Linked DNA regions of Arabidopsis thaliana. The protein of the gene in region 2 interacts with the protein of the main gene of each other region in a pairwise test. Each region holds a gene or a part of one and is shown on either strand. Other genes may lie near its edges.

What was found. The genes of interacting proteins can lie anywhere in the genome.
Region 1: the proteins of MBD1 (region 2) and SPL7 interact in a two-hybrid assay, tested with the Arabidopsis thaliana proteins (one large-scale study listed by BioGRID).

The regions. Positions count from the first base shown.
Region 1 is NC_003076.8:6,274,432-6,281,116, reverse strand, and holds SPL7 (squamosa promoter binding protein-like 7), read right to left. Parts: upstream 5,128-6,685; 5' UTR 5,002-5,127; coding exon 4,451-5,001; intron 4,055-4,450; coding exon 3,882-4,054; intron 3,731-3,881; coding exon 3,504-3,730; intron 3,431-3,503; coding exon 3,356-3,430; intron 3,254-3,355; coding exon 3,146-3,253; intron 2,830-3,145; coding exon 2,712-2,829; intron 2,596-2,711; coding exon 2,460-2,595; intron 2,235-2,459; coding exon 2,081-2,234; intron 2,007-2,080; coding exon 1,446-2,006; intron 1,193-1,445; coding exon 905-1,192; coding exon of another isoform or gene 890-904; exon of another isoform or gene 821-889; coding exon 755-820; 3' UTR 550-754; downstream 1-549. UniProt on the Arabidopsis thaliana protein: Transcription factor that participates in reprogramming global gene expression during copper deficiency in order to improve the metal uptake and prioritize its distribution to copper proteins of major importance.
Region 2 is NC_003075.7:11,946,681-11,950,624, reverse strand, and holds MBD1 (methyl-CPG-binding domain 1), read left to right. Parts: upstream 1-1,820; 5' UTR 1,821-1,983; intron 1,984-2,105; 5' UTR 2,106-2,110; coding exon 2,111-2,230; intron 2,231-2,709; coding exon 2,710-3,204; 3' UTR 3,205-3,415; downstream 3,416-3,944. Other genes in the region: AT4G22750 (DHHC-type zinc finger protein), read left to right, coding at 13-226, 314-405, 511-640, 738-823, 928-990, 1,125-1,259. UniProt on the Arabidopsis thaliana protein: Probable transcriptional regulator.

The sequences.
Region 1 (6,685 bases), on a different chromosome or scaffold from region 2:
ACGTCCAAGTAATCTCTAATAGTTTTCTTTTGTTAAAGAGAAATGCTTCTAAGTTTGAGCAAACTTTTAAAGGCAAAATAGATTAGTCTATGTTTAAATTAGCACGTTAAAGCTAGCGTTTGATACGTTTAAAGAAAGGTGAATACATCTAAAGCAAATAAATAAAATGTTAGAATGTTGTCGTTTACCAAAATATATGACTCAGAACTGACGCATTTCCTTATATGTGTGTCTCTTCGTTGTTTTCAAATCTCATCTTCTTTGTCTTTTTCTACCCATTTGCCTTCTATGTTGCAATCAATCTCAGTGCCGATTTCTCAATCCAACATGCATCTTAATACAGTTGTACTTCAAAAAGAGAAGAAAAGAATAAAACCATCTCAAATTATTATGCTACTTGAGTACTAGTTAATCTATTGGACTGACAATAATAATAAGAAAAGTCAAAGATAACATTTGATAATAGAGGTGACCAAACAGAGTTTAGAGAGATCTCAAGAGCCAAGACATTGCTTGAAGTAGAAAATTGCATAAAGTTACGATTAGGATTTGTTCAAGAATCATTTCTTAGACCAAGAAACAAAGAAAAAACAGGTTACAGTGAGCAAAAGTAAACCCTAATATACATAAAACACTATTCGACTAGAGATAATTAATCACTGATCTGAGCATTTCTTGTTATTACAGTTGCAGCATCACCGGTCTTATAGAAATTGGGAAGAAGAACACACAGAAAGAGCAAGACCTCATCTGATCATATCCTGTCTCTTTCTGAAGGGAAACTCTCTGAGAAGCTGTTGTGGCTGAGCTCTGTTGAACACTCTTACAGCTCTCTTCGAGCTTTTTGATGCACACACGTTAATGAGAGTCTCTGCCGTTGAACTTATATTCAAATTTTGTGTACCAATCTCATTCGGATTGCCACTGCAAGCTGTGTGACCTTGTTTGGATGGTAGAGAACCGCACAGACAGCAAAACAGACAGCGAACGTAGCGATTAAGAACATAGTTTGACGGGACCTGAATGCTAAAGCTGAGTGCGTTTTTATACACGACTTCCTTGGCCAGTCTCCTATGTCATTTACGTTCATGACAACCTCTTTGTTTAACAGAGGATCAGTCTCTTTTCCGCCGCTATCTGGTGAACAGTCTGCCTGTATTCTCTCTTTACAATCTAATCCTGCTTCAGGATCCTGTAAACATAATAAATGGCAAACATTAAATAACAGAAACTATGCAAATAAACCAAGAAACAGACACAATATTGTGCGCAGACTCCTGTAATATTGTCACAATGTGCCAAATATACCATAAACACACAAAAGTTAGTGTTCAGCACTCAGGAGTGGAGCAAGAAACCAAATGTGCAAGACAAGTATAGATTGTGGGCAGAGTCCAGTATAGATCAAACAGGAAAATAGGGGAAGTCAGATAATAGTGAAAAACCTTATTGAAGTTTAATATTCTTGATGGTATGTCCTTCTGACTACTCACACAACAGCAACCTGACGAAGGAGGATTCACCTTTGACTCTATAGGGCTTTGATGCTTTCTGTGAATATCACTCGCCAAATCCATATTTTCATGTAGAAGCCTCACGTCGCAGTCACAGGTACAGTGAACAAGACTGTCTGGCTCCATTTTCTTCACCAAAGTTTCCAAATTGTGCAGTACGTTTCCTAAGATCGACGCTGAGTTATTCTGTATCAGATAATTCAACACTCTGTTGTATCTTTTTATCTGACATCGGTTCACAGGTTGCTCAGTGCGTTCTGCAGAGGGTACCTTCACCGACCATGCAATATCTAACAAGAGGCCACTAAAGGTGCTCTGTCTCTCCCCAAAATCCCTGCAACAGCAAGTCAAAGAAGAGCAAGCAGTAACTTCTTGTCCCTCTGGAAAGAGTGTAGCATTGAACTTCTGCTCTATTAGTTTCATTTCGGAACAAACAGCTGCATCTCCAATAATTAGAGGTATGAAATTTGATAGGCCAGATTCATTTTCAACCTACAAAAGGATTAGATGAGGATCGTATTGAAATGAGCTACTTCTAAACTGTATATCATCAAACAAATGGGTACCTCGACAAAGGCAGGGCCAAAGAGACTAGGGTCAGAATTCACAATATTGATCTTGTAGAACTTGTTATTACAAGAACGCTTCCCATCCTGGTCCGGTGCAGGTACAACAGAATAGTTATGTGGCAAGTACTTCCCAGAAAAAGACACGAGAAACCTACAATGAAACCATTATCTGTAAGCAGCATGTTTTTCTTTCGTATATGGAACAGTTTAGTAATCACAAGTGATAAAAATCAAACCAACAAATGATGGGTAGTAATCGAAATGCAACATTTTGAAAGTTCTTGCAATATCAGCTTCCTCATATGAGAAATAAGACAGAACTAGAAATGCGAGAGATGTCTGAAGCATAGCTCAAAAAAAGGGTTGACATTAATACCGGCATTTAGGTTGCAGAAGGTTTTGTCCACATACAACGAGTTCAATTGGTTTTCCAGCTTCAAAACATGTAGGATACACAAACTGAAGTTTCGGCGACTCTAATTTTACATCGACTCTCTTTAAAGTTGTTCCACCTGTCAAAACCAAGACAAATAAGTATTAGTTCACATTAATAGCTCACGACATTATGGTTATCCAATATGATAGAGTGAAAAAATCCAGAGAAAACAAGTAAAGCACACCAACTTGCCTTTAATAAGACGGAAAATCATGTTGTTCAAATAGACAGTCATCGAGCCTCTTCCAAACAGCATCTTTCCAGGTTTAAGAATAAATTCATCCAGATATGCCACAGGATCTTTAGATAACTGTTTACAGGAACAAATTGGAAAAGTTTATTACAGTGCAAAGTCAAAAGAGAGTTCACGGGAAGAGATACTAAGTTTGCATTTTCTCCCTCCAGGGCAAAAGCTTCCAAATAATGGACAATTTTTAGTAACAAAAGAACTTCAGGTCACACAAAAACGTAAGAGCTTTAATGTGTATATGGTACTTAAGAGGGTAAGGTGCATAGAGAAATAGAGCATATCTCGAGACTACAACCTACTGAAAATAAACAATTTCTTATGTTGTGTCGCGGCATCATGAACATGAAAATGATGAGTAAAAGATAACAGGATGTACCTTCGCCCACATAATCTCTGGCATTGCTATAAAGACAGTCAAAATTGTACATCCTGGGCGGATATAGCCCTCCAGCTCAACAGGCATGTTGGCCAACCATTGAAATATCTGCAAATTCAAATTAATCGCAAGATATTAGTTCTTTGAGATTCTGAGAAGGTAAACATAGTCTTTGAACACTAAACTGTAATATATAATTCTTGAGAATACTTGATGACGTAGTCTCCGTGGGAACTCCGCTGGATTCCAATCGTAGAGCTTAAAAGAGATCCGACCAGTTGGACACTGCAATGAAATGGGAAATTAGTTCATTAAGTGCACCGATGTTTTTGATGTTAGAGGCTGAAGAGAAACTCACCACAGTTGAGTAAGCACTTTTGTTGTCGCCATTAGAAGGTGAACGTTCAAATTTTGTGTCATTCATTCCTTCATCTGGTTGAGCTTCACCCGAACCTGTAACAGAGACAAAGTTGTCTGCGTTGATGCTTCGGGTAAAAGGTACAGAACCCTGAGTGGTAATATGCCGATCTTCAAAAATCAATGAAGGCTCTTCTTCAGCTCTCTGGTCACTAGAGCATGTGATATCTGCTTCAAAATGATAGCATTGACAATCGAATCAGCTTGAATTTCCAAGAGAACTCTAAACGTTGGTAACTAGCAAAATATGCAAAGCAAACAACTAAAACAAAGAAACCACATGGTGATATGATTTGAGATTTGCGCAGTTCACTTATACCTTTTCCATCCTCAACATCAATGACGCTGTTATCATTCTGTGAAAGCACTTGCTGTTGTTCTGCAGCAACACCTCCTTTATCTACAGGTTTCCTTTTCCGTCTGTTGTTGTGACGCTCTAGCTTTCTCCGACAGCTGCGTTTTCCTTCATCAAAGTCCGGGAGCAAATGAAACCTGCCAGATAGTACTACTCACTATAATGATGGATAACAGCATAGATTGAAAGAATTAATACAAACAATAATACTGCTAAACAGAAGTTAAGCTCAGCTTATGCTCAACAAAGAGACTAAGTAAATTCCGTGGGATCATTCAAACTGATCAACAGTCTCTCCCAAAGTTATCCAATTTCTTAACAATAGATTCAAAGTCTCTATCCCAATCAAACAGACAACAGAAACCCATCCCGATCTTCGATCATTTTGTGCTGCAAATCAAATCTGAACAACACCTAAGTCAAACACACACAAAAATCCCAGGAGGATGCATAGGAGGTTAACTAAGACAGTTCCCGCTGGATTCACCTATCAAATCCAATTCTTATTCTCAAAGCCAAGAAAAGTAACATACTTTCCACACTGTTGACAGTATCTCTTATTCTCTCCATCAAGCACAACAAAGCTGGCGGTAGCGCAACGGAGACAAACCCTATGCCTCTTATGGTACCCTTTGAGCTCGCTAATATCCGCTTCACAATCCGGAACCTGACATCGAGCCACGCCCGACCCGCCGCGAACCCGTTTCTTCTTCGGAAGCTCGGCGTCTTCCAATTTCTGATCAAGCTCAGGACACGAACAAGGAAGCATACCTTCAATGAAATTGGAACAAATCAACCTCGGGTCTCGCTTCCTAACCCGATCCGAACCAGAACCCGATTCTTCCGGAGAAGGATCTAATTCAGATTCCGCCGGAGTTTGCGTCGGAATCAGAGGCGGTAGAGGAGGAGAGAGAACGGGAGGGAAATGAATTTGATCGACGAGAAGGCGTTCGTCTGCGGCGAAGTCAAGGAGATCTCCCCAATCCCATAAAGCGGAGGAATAAGTGGAAGGATCATCGTTAACCAATGCCGGGGGTTGGATATCCATCTCCGGCGGTGGTGGCGATTGCGACAGAGAAGACATCTGAGAGTCTTCAATTTCTGATAAAATTCAGAGAAATATTGAAAGGTCCATCGGTTGTTGAGGAAGTTGGTGATTTTGGTTGAAGGTTTTAGGTAATTTTGCACAAAGTCATCAACATCTCCGAATAATGCATTTTTACATTACTTTTTTTTTTTGACATCTCAAAACTTTTTATTTCTTGAGTTATTTTATGGAACTAAATAAAATAAATTATCTAAAATAGTCTACATTTTTTTTTTATCTGTGGAATGACTCAATCAACAGAGAACTCGTTGAACTAATAAACACAATCATGATTAGTTAATCGTGCTTTAATAGTTTATTCACATATTCTTTTTTTTTCTTGCCTAACTTATATAATTCAAAAATTCTTTGCGGCAAAAGACAAAAATCCGAAAATTCATCATTTCACAAATAGCACTAATACTATTTTTTTTTTTTAAAAGAATGTTTTAATTCAAAATTAATTGATAAAAATCCTGAAAGATCCATTATCTTTGCATAATGAAAATGTTAAAATCATTTTTTGATTTACGATGTGAAATATTCTGACAGATGACAACTTAACACAACTAAAAGTAGTTTGATAATTGATAGCACAATCGACTCGTTTTGGAATGGTTATTGCATATGGTTCAACTTATTACATCTTGTTATATAATATCCAAAAAGGTGTATTTATGTTTTACATTAACCAGAAGTAGATTGCTTGAAAAAATTGTAATATAGAAACGTTCTTTTGTTGCATAATAAACAGAATTCAAAAGAAAATTCTTAGAATTAAAAACCCTAACTACAGAAAAAAATTTTGGGAGACAATATTTGGGACACTTGGTTATATAATTAGCCTATAGGTTTATATTTGGGAGTCCCTACTTTATAATTAGCAAAAGAAAAAAGAAACAAAAAGTGGCCAAGGAGGAGGTGTTGAGCTATGTAGGAGGAAGTGTCGGGACGTGAGAGACACGCGCTAAATGATGGCAGCACATGATTGGTTGAAGGGAGGTTCGCGTGTAAGCTACGTGAGTTTGAGGAAATCAACGGTTCATCAATCATTATCGAATACGACGTCGGTTCAGTGTTACTTGGGACGTGAGCGACCCCAAGTGCTCTCTCTCTCTCGCTTTTTTTTTTTCTCCAATAATAACGGTGGTGGAATTTTGGTCTTCTCATTCCAAGCCATTCACCACCAGAAAATAGACACGTGTCTCATCCACCATGTGCTTACTAAGTTACTATATACCCTTTTGTGCTTTATTTTGTTTTGTTTTCGCAGACAGAAATATGACATGGTTAATGATTGGTATTAAGAATATGTGCTATGAAAATTGGAGATTAGCCCACTTTTCGGATGGGCCAGTCCGGGCCCAAAAATAAATGATGACACCATGAACAATTTAAACATTAACCCACATATGAAACCGAGGAAAAACACAAGGGTCTGGTAAGATTAAGAACCCGAGTTCGATCTCTGTAATTCAATTGGAGATAAAAACTACTGATTGTCGATTGAGAGCTTATTCTTAATGTATTGAATTACTCCAAATACGTCTCGACATAACCACATAGGCTACAAAAGTTTAATAAGATGAAATTGCATAATAATTGAGACTTGATGACGCTTTCTAAGCACAAAACTGACAAAAGAAAATAATATAAAAGATGTCCGTATACACATTCAACT
Region 2 (3,944 bases):
TTTTGTTTGCAGCTTATAATGCTACTGTGGAGTTATTTCTCTGTTGTTGTGACGGACCCTGGTGGTGTTCCAACGGGTTGGAGGCCAGAATTAGACATAGAGAAAAGCGAGGGAAACCAAGCTTTGATTGGAGAAGCTTCGGTTGGAGATTCCTCGTCTCATGGTGTAAGATATTGTAGAAAGTGCAATCAATATAAACCGCCTCGTTCTCACCATTGTTCAGTCTGTAAGTCTCTTCAATGAGTGATTCTTTTCTTTGAATCCGGTATATGTGTTTTTTAGTAGTGAAAAAGTTGTCATATTGGGTTTTCAGGTGGAAGATGCATACTAAAGATGGACCATCACTGTGTTTGGGTGGTGAATTGTGTTGGTGCAAATAACTACAAATCATTTCTCCTATTCTTGGTATGTCAACTTATCATAGCATCGCTGAACGAAGTTGTTTTTGATATGTTCTGTTCATTAATGTTGCCATGATCATAATCCATTCCCAATATCTCAAAAATGCAGTTTTACACATTTCTTGAGACAACGGTGGTTGCAGTATCACTATTGCCAATTTTCCTCGTATTCTTCAGCGATGGAGATGGTGATATAACCGTATCACCAGGAAGCCTAGCAGCCAGCTTTGTTGCATTTGGTGAGTTCAAAGATATAGAAATCTCAGTTTCCGTTTTTGTTTCAGAACACCTTAACGTTACCATCTGATTCAAAAACTTCACTCTCTTGCTTTCCAGTATTGAACATAGCATTTGCCCTAAGTGTCCTAGGCTTCCTAATAATGCACATAATGTTGGTCGCTCGTAACACCACAACTATTGAGGTAAAGCAACAACTCTCACTTGGTTTTGCTCTTAACTTGGGTTCTCTCAGGAATCTCCATGTCAATAAACTCACTGACCAAACTAATGGTTTCTTTAATCTCAGGCGTATGAGAAGCATACAGTGAACTGGCCATACAACGTTGGTCGTAAGACAAACTTTGAACAGGTTCGCTCTCCATCTTCTTTGTTTCACTCGTTCTTCAGTGACTGATTCGTTTCCCCGCTACTTAGATAATATCTTTGACATCGAACACAATGAAAGCTTTAAAAAGTTTGGTCTCTATTCCTTTGTTGAATCAGGTTTTTGGAAGTGATAAAATGTATTGGTTCGTGCCATTGTACACGGAAGACGATAAGAAGAAGTTGCCAGCACTTGGAGGGTTAGACTTTACGAGCAGGTCGGAGTCCGAGACAGAGCCGCTTCAGTCTCTATGACCTTACAAACTTGAAATTTTTGGAAGTGTGTCTTCTGCTTTGTGTATGTATCAATCAAATATTATATCAAACATTGTCTTGTGTATTATAAAGATTAGTGCCTATTGTGGAATTTGTATCTTTTTATTTCGTGAAAAGAAATTTCTCAAACTTCTTAAATATACCATTTTCACATTTGCTTAAATATACCATTTTCATTTTTTCACTATTGATAATAATAACATGTTATTTATCATAAAAAATAAAAAAATCACGACACGTGAATGATGTACTGTAACTATCAAAGATTTGACGTACCACATACTTTCTGTATGTTTTTGATCGAATCAAAAATAATTATTTTTGTCCTTTTTTGTTTTATTGTTATTTTATAATGTAATACTTTTACTAAAATAATTTTTTTTAAAAACTAAATTTCTGGTCTATATAATTTTGGCCAAATATGTACATATTTAAAATCCAGAGTCAACCATTTAACAAACACTTGGAAATTTAATTAATTATTATGCCCTGTTTAGTAGAAAATCCATTAAAAATTACAGAAATGGTCTGCGTGTCGCATTGAACCAATCATATCTCGACATCTGTAAATACAGTTGGAGAAGATTTTTTCTTCTTCTGCTGGCCAAAAAAAAACATTGCATTAAAAAGGGTTCAAAGAAAAATTCTCAAATTCTCTAACAAAGAGCTCTGAGATTTTTGGAAATCTGAATCGTTGTTCGAGGTATGAACTTTTGGATCACTCTCCTTGAATCTGCTCTTTGATTCGATTTCGTACTTGAATTTCGCAATTTTGGAGTTTTCTCTCGCTTCGTTATACTGATCGTTTAGGGCTTGAAATTGAAGGTTTAATGTTACCATTTCCGGCAATGAACTTGAAGAAGTCTCGATCGGAAAACTCATCAGTTGCTTCATCTGGAAGTAAGATTGAGGAGCAGACTGAGAAATCAGCTGAACCAACAACCATTAAGGTAAACCTCACTAAACCTAAACCCGGTTTCAATTTTGCTTTGTGGTCTCTCTTTACCACACAGATCTTATCATTGAATTCTATCTCTTAATTAGGGTTTTAGTTGAGAATCTTAAGGTTTTTTTTCAACCAGTTTCGAAGACTTAGTTACTAGTGTTATTTGACGAACTGATGCAGACATAAAGGTTATAACTTTATTTCTCGTTGTGTCTTTGGCTGATCAGTTATGTATAAAATTTAATCAATATTTATGCTATTTAAGGTTTCGCAGTGACCCTTTTCTTCAAATTTGGTTTTTGATTCTGCATGTTCTCAGTATCACTCTTTTGGTGGTGTCCCTGTTTTGACTTTTGTGTTTCTCTACGCATGTTTTCTCATCTTGCTATATATTAAACGATTTGTAGTATGATTCTGTTGATCCAAGTAGCTTGTGAGTGACTGTTCTTCTTTTCACCGAGATTCCATATTTGTATTGTGCAGGTGCAGAAAAAAGCCGGTACTCCAGGGAGGTCGATAGATGTCTTTGCTGTGCAGTGTGAGAAGTGCATGAAGTGGAGGAAGATTGATACTCAAGATGAGTATGAAGATATCAGAAGTAGAGTACAAGAGGACCCGTTTTTTTGCAAGACGAAAGAAGGTGTGTCCTGTGAAGATGTTGGAGATCTAAACTATGATTCCTCCAGAACATGGGTCATCGACAAGCCTGGCTTGCCGAGGACACCAAGAGGGTTCAAAAGGAGCTTAATTCTGAGAAAGGATTACTCGAAAATGGATGCGTACTACATAACTCCTACTGGGAAGAAGCTCAAGTCTCGTAATGAAATCGCAGCCTTCATCGATGCCAATCAGGATTACAAGTATGCACTGCTTGGAGATTTCAATTTCACAGTCCCAAAGGTGATGGAAGAGACGGTTCCTAGTGGGATATTATCTGACAGGACCCCCAAGCCATCAAGGAAAGTTACAATTGATTGAGCTACATAGCGCTTCCCAGCTTCTTATGGTGTTGAAGTTGTTATTGGAGTCAGTTTTAGGTTTCTATCTGGTTTAGTCTTTTAAGGGTGTCGGACTTCTTACTGTAGAATGTTTCTTAAACTCATCTCTTTGACTCTGATTGGATCTTTATTTTCTAATGAAGGATTATCTTTTCTTCTCTTTTTGTTATGTCACAAGTCACAACTACATGAATCGCTCTGGTTTTCACTCAGTGTGTACAAACAAACACGACAAAGTATATTCAAGCAGCATGTGTACAACTTCTTCTACTCCAAGCGCACCCTCTGCTATAGCGTGCGGTGTGCAAGTCCTCGCTTATGGGCTATTTATCCCATTCAACATTGAGTATTGGTCATAACCTCTTGGGACTGAGAGCTTTATGAAAAGAAGCCTTAAACAATGATTGCATATTTGGGATTTTCAAAAAGAAGACTCACAACATAACTTTATGTATGTTTCCGCTCTTGGGTTTTCTGACCAGCCCTTGAAGCTAGTCCTTTCTCAAGGTTTTGTGTATGTTTCATTAGTTTTTGTTTGTATCTGGAGTCTACCGTTTATTAGAAGTTTAGGTTGCTCCTTCCACCGTCCTTACTCCTTGGTTTAGTTGAATAAGCAGTTTTCTCATGTGGTCTTACTTGGTATGTAAAGGCTAACCTTTTGTGGGCATGCAAAGTTCTAAATTTAGACTCTTTAGGATGAAGATTACATGGCTACAATTT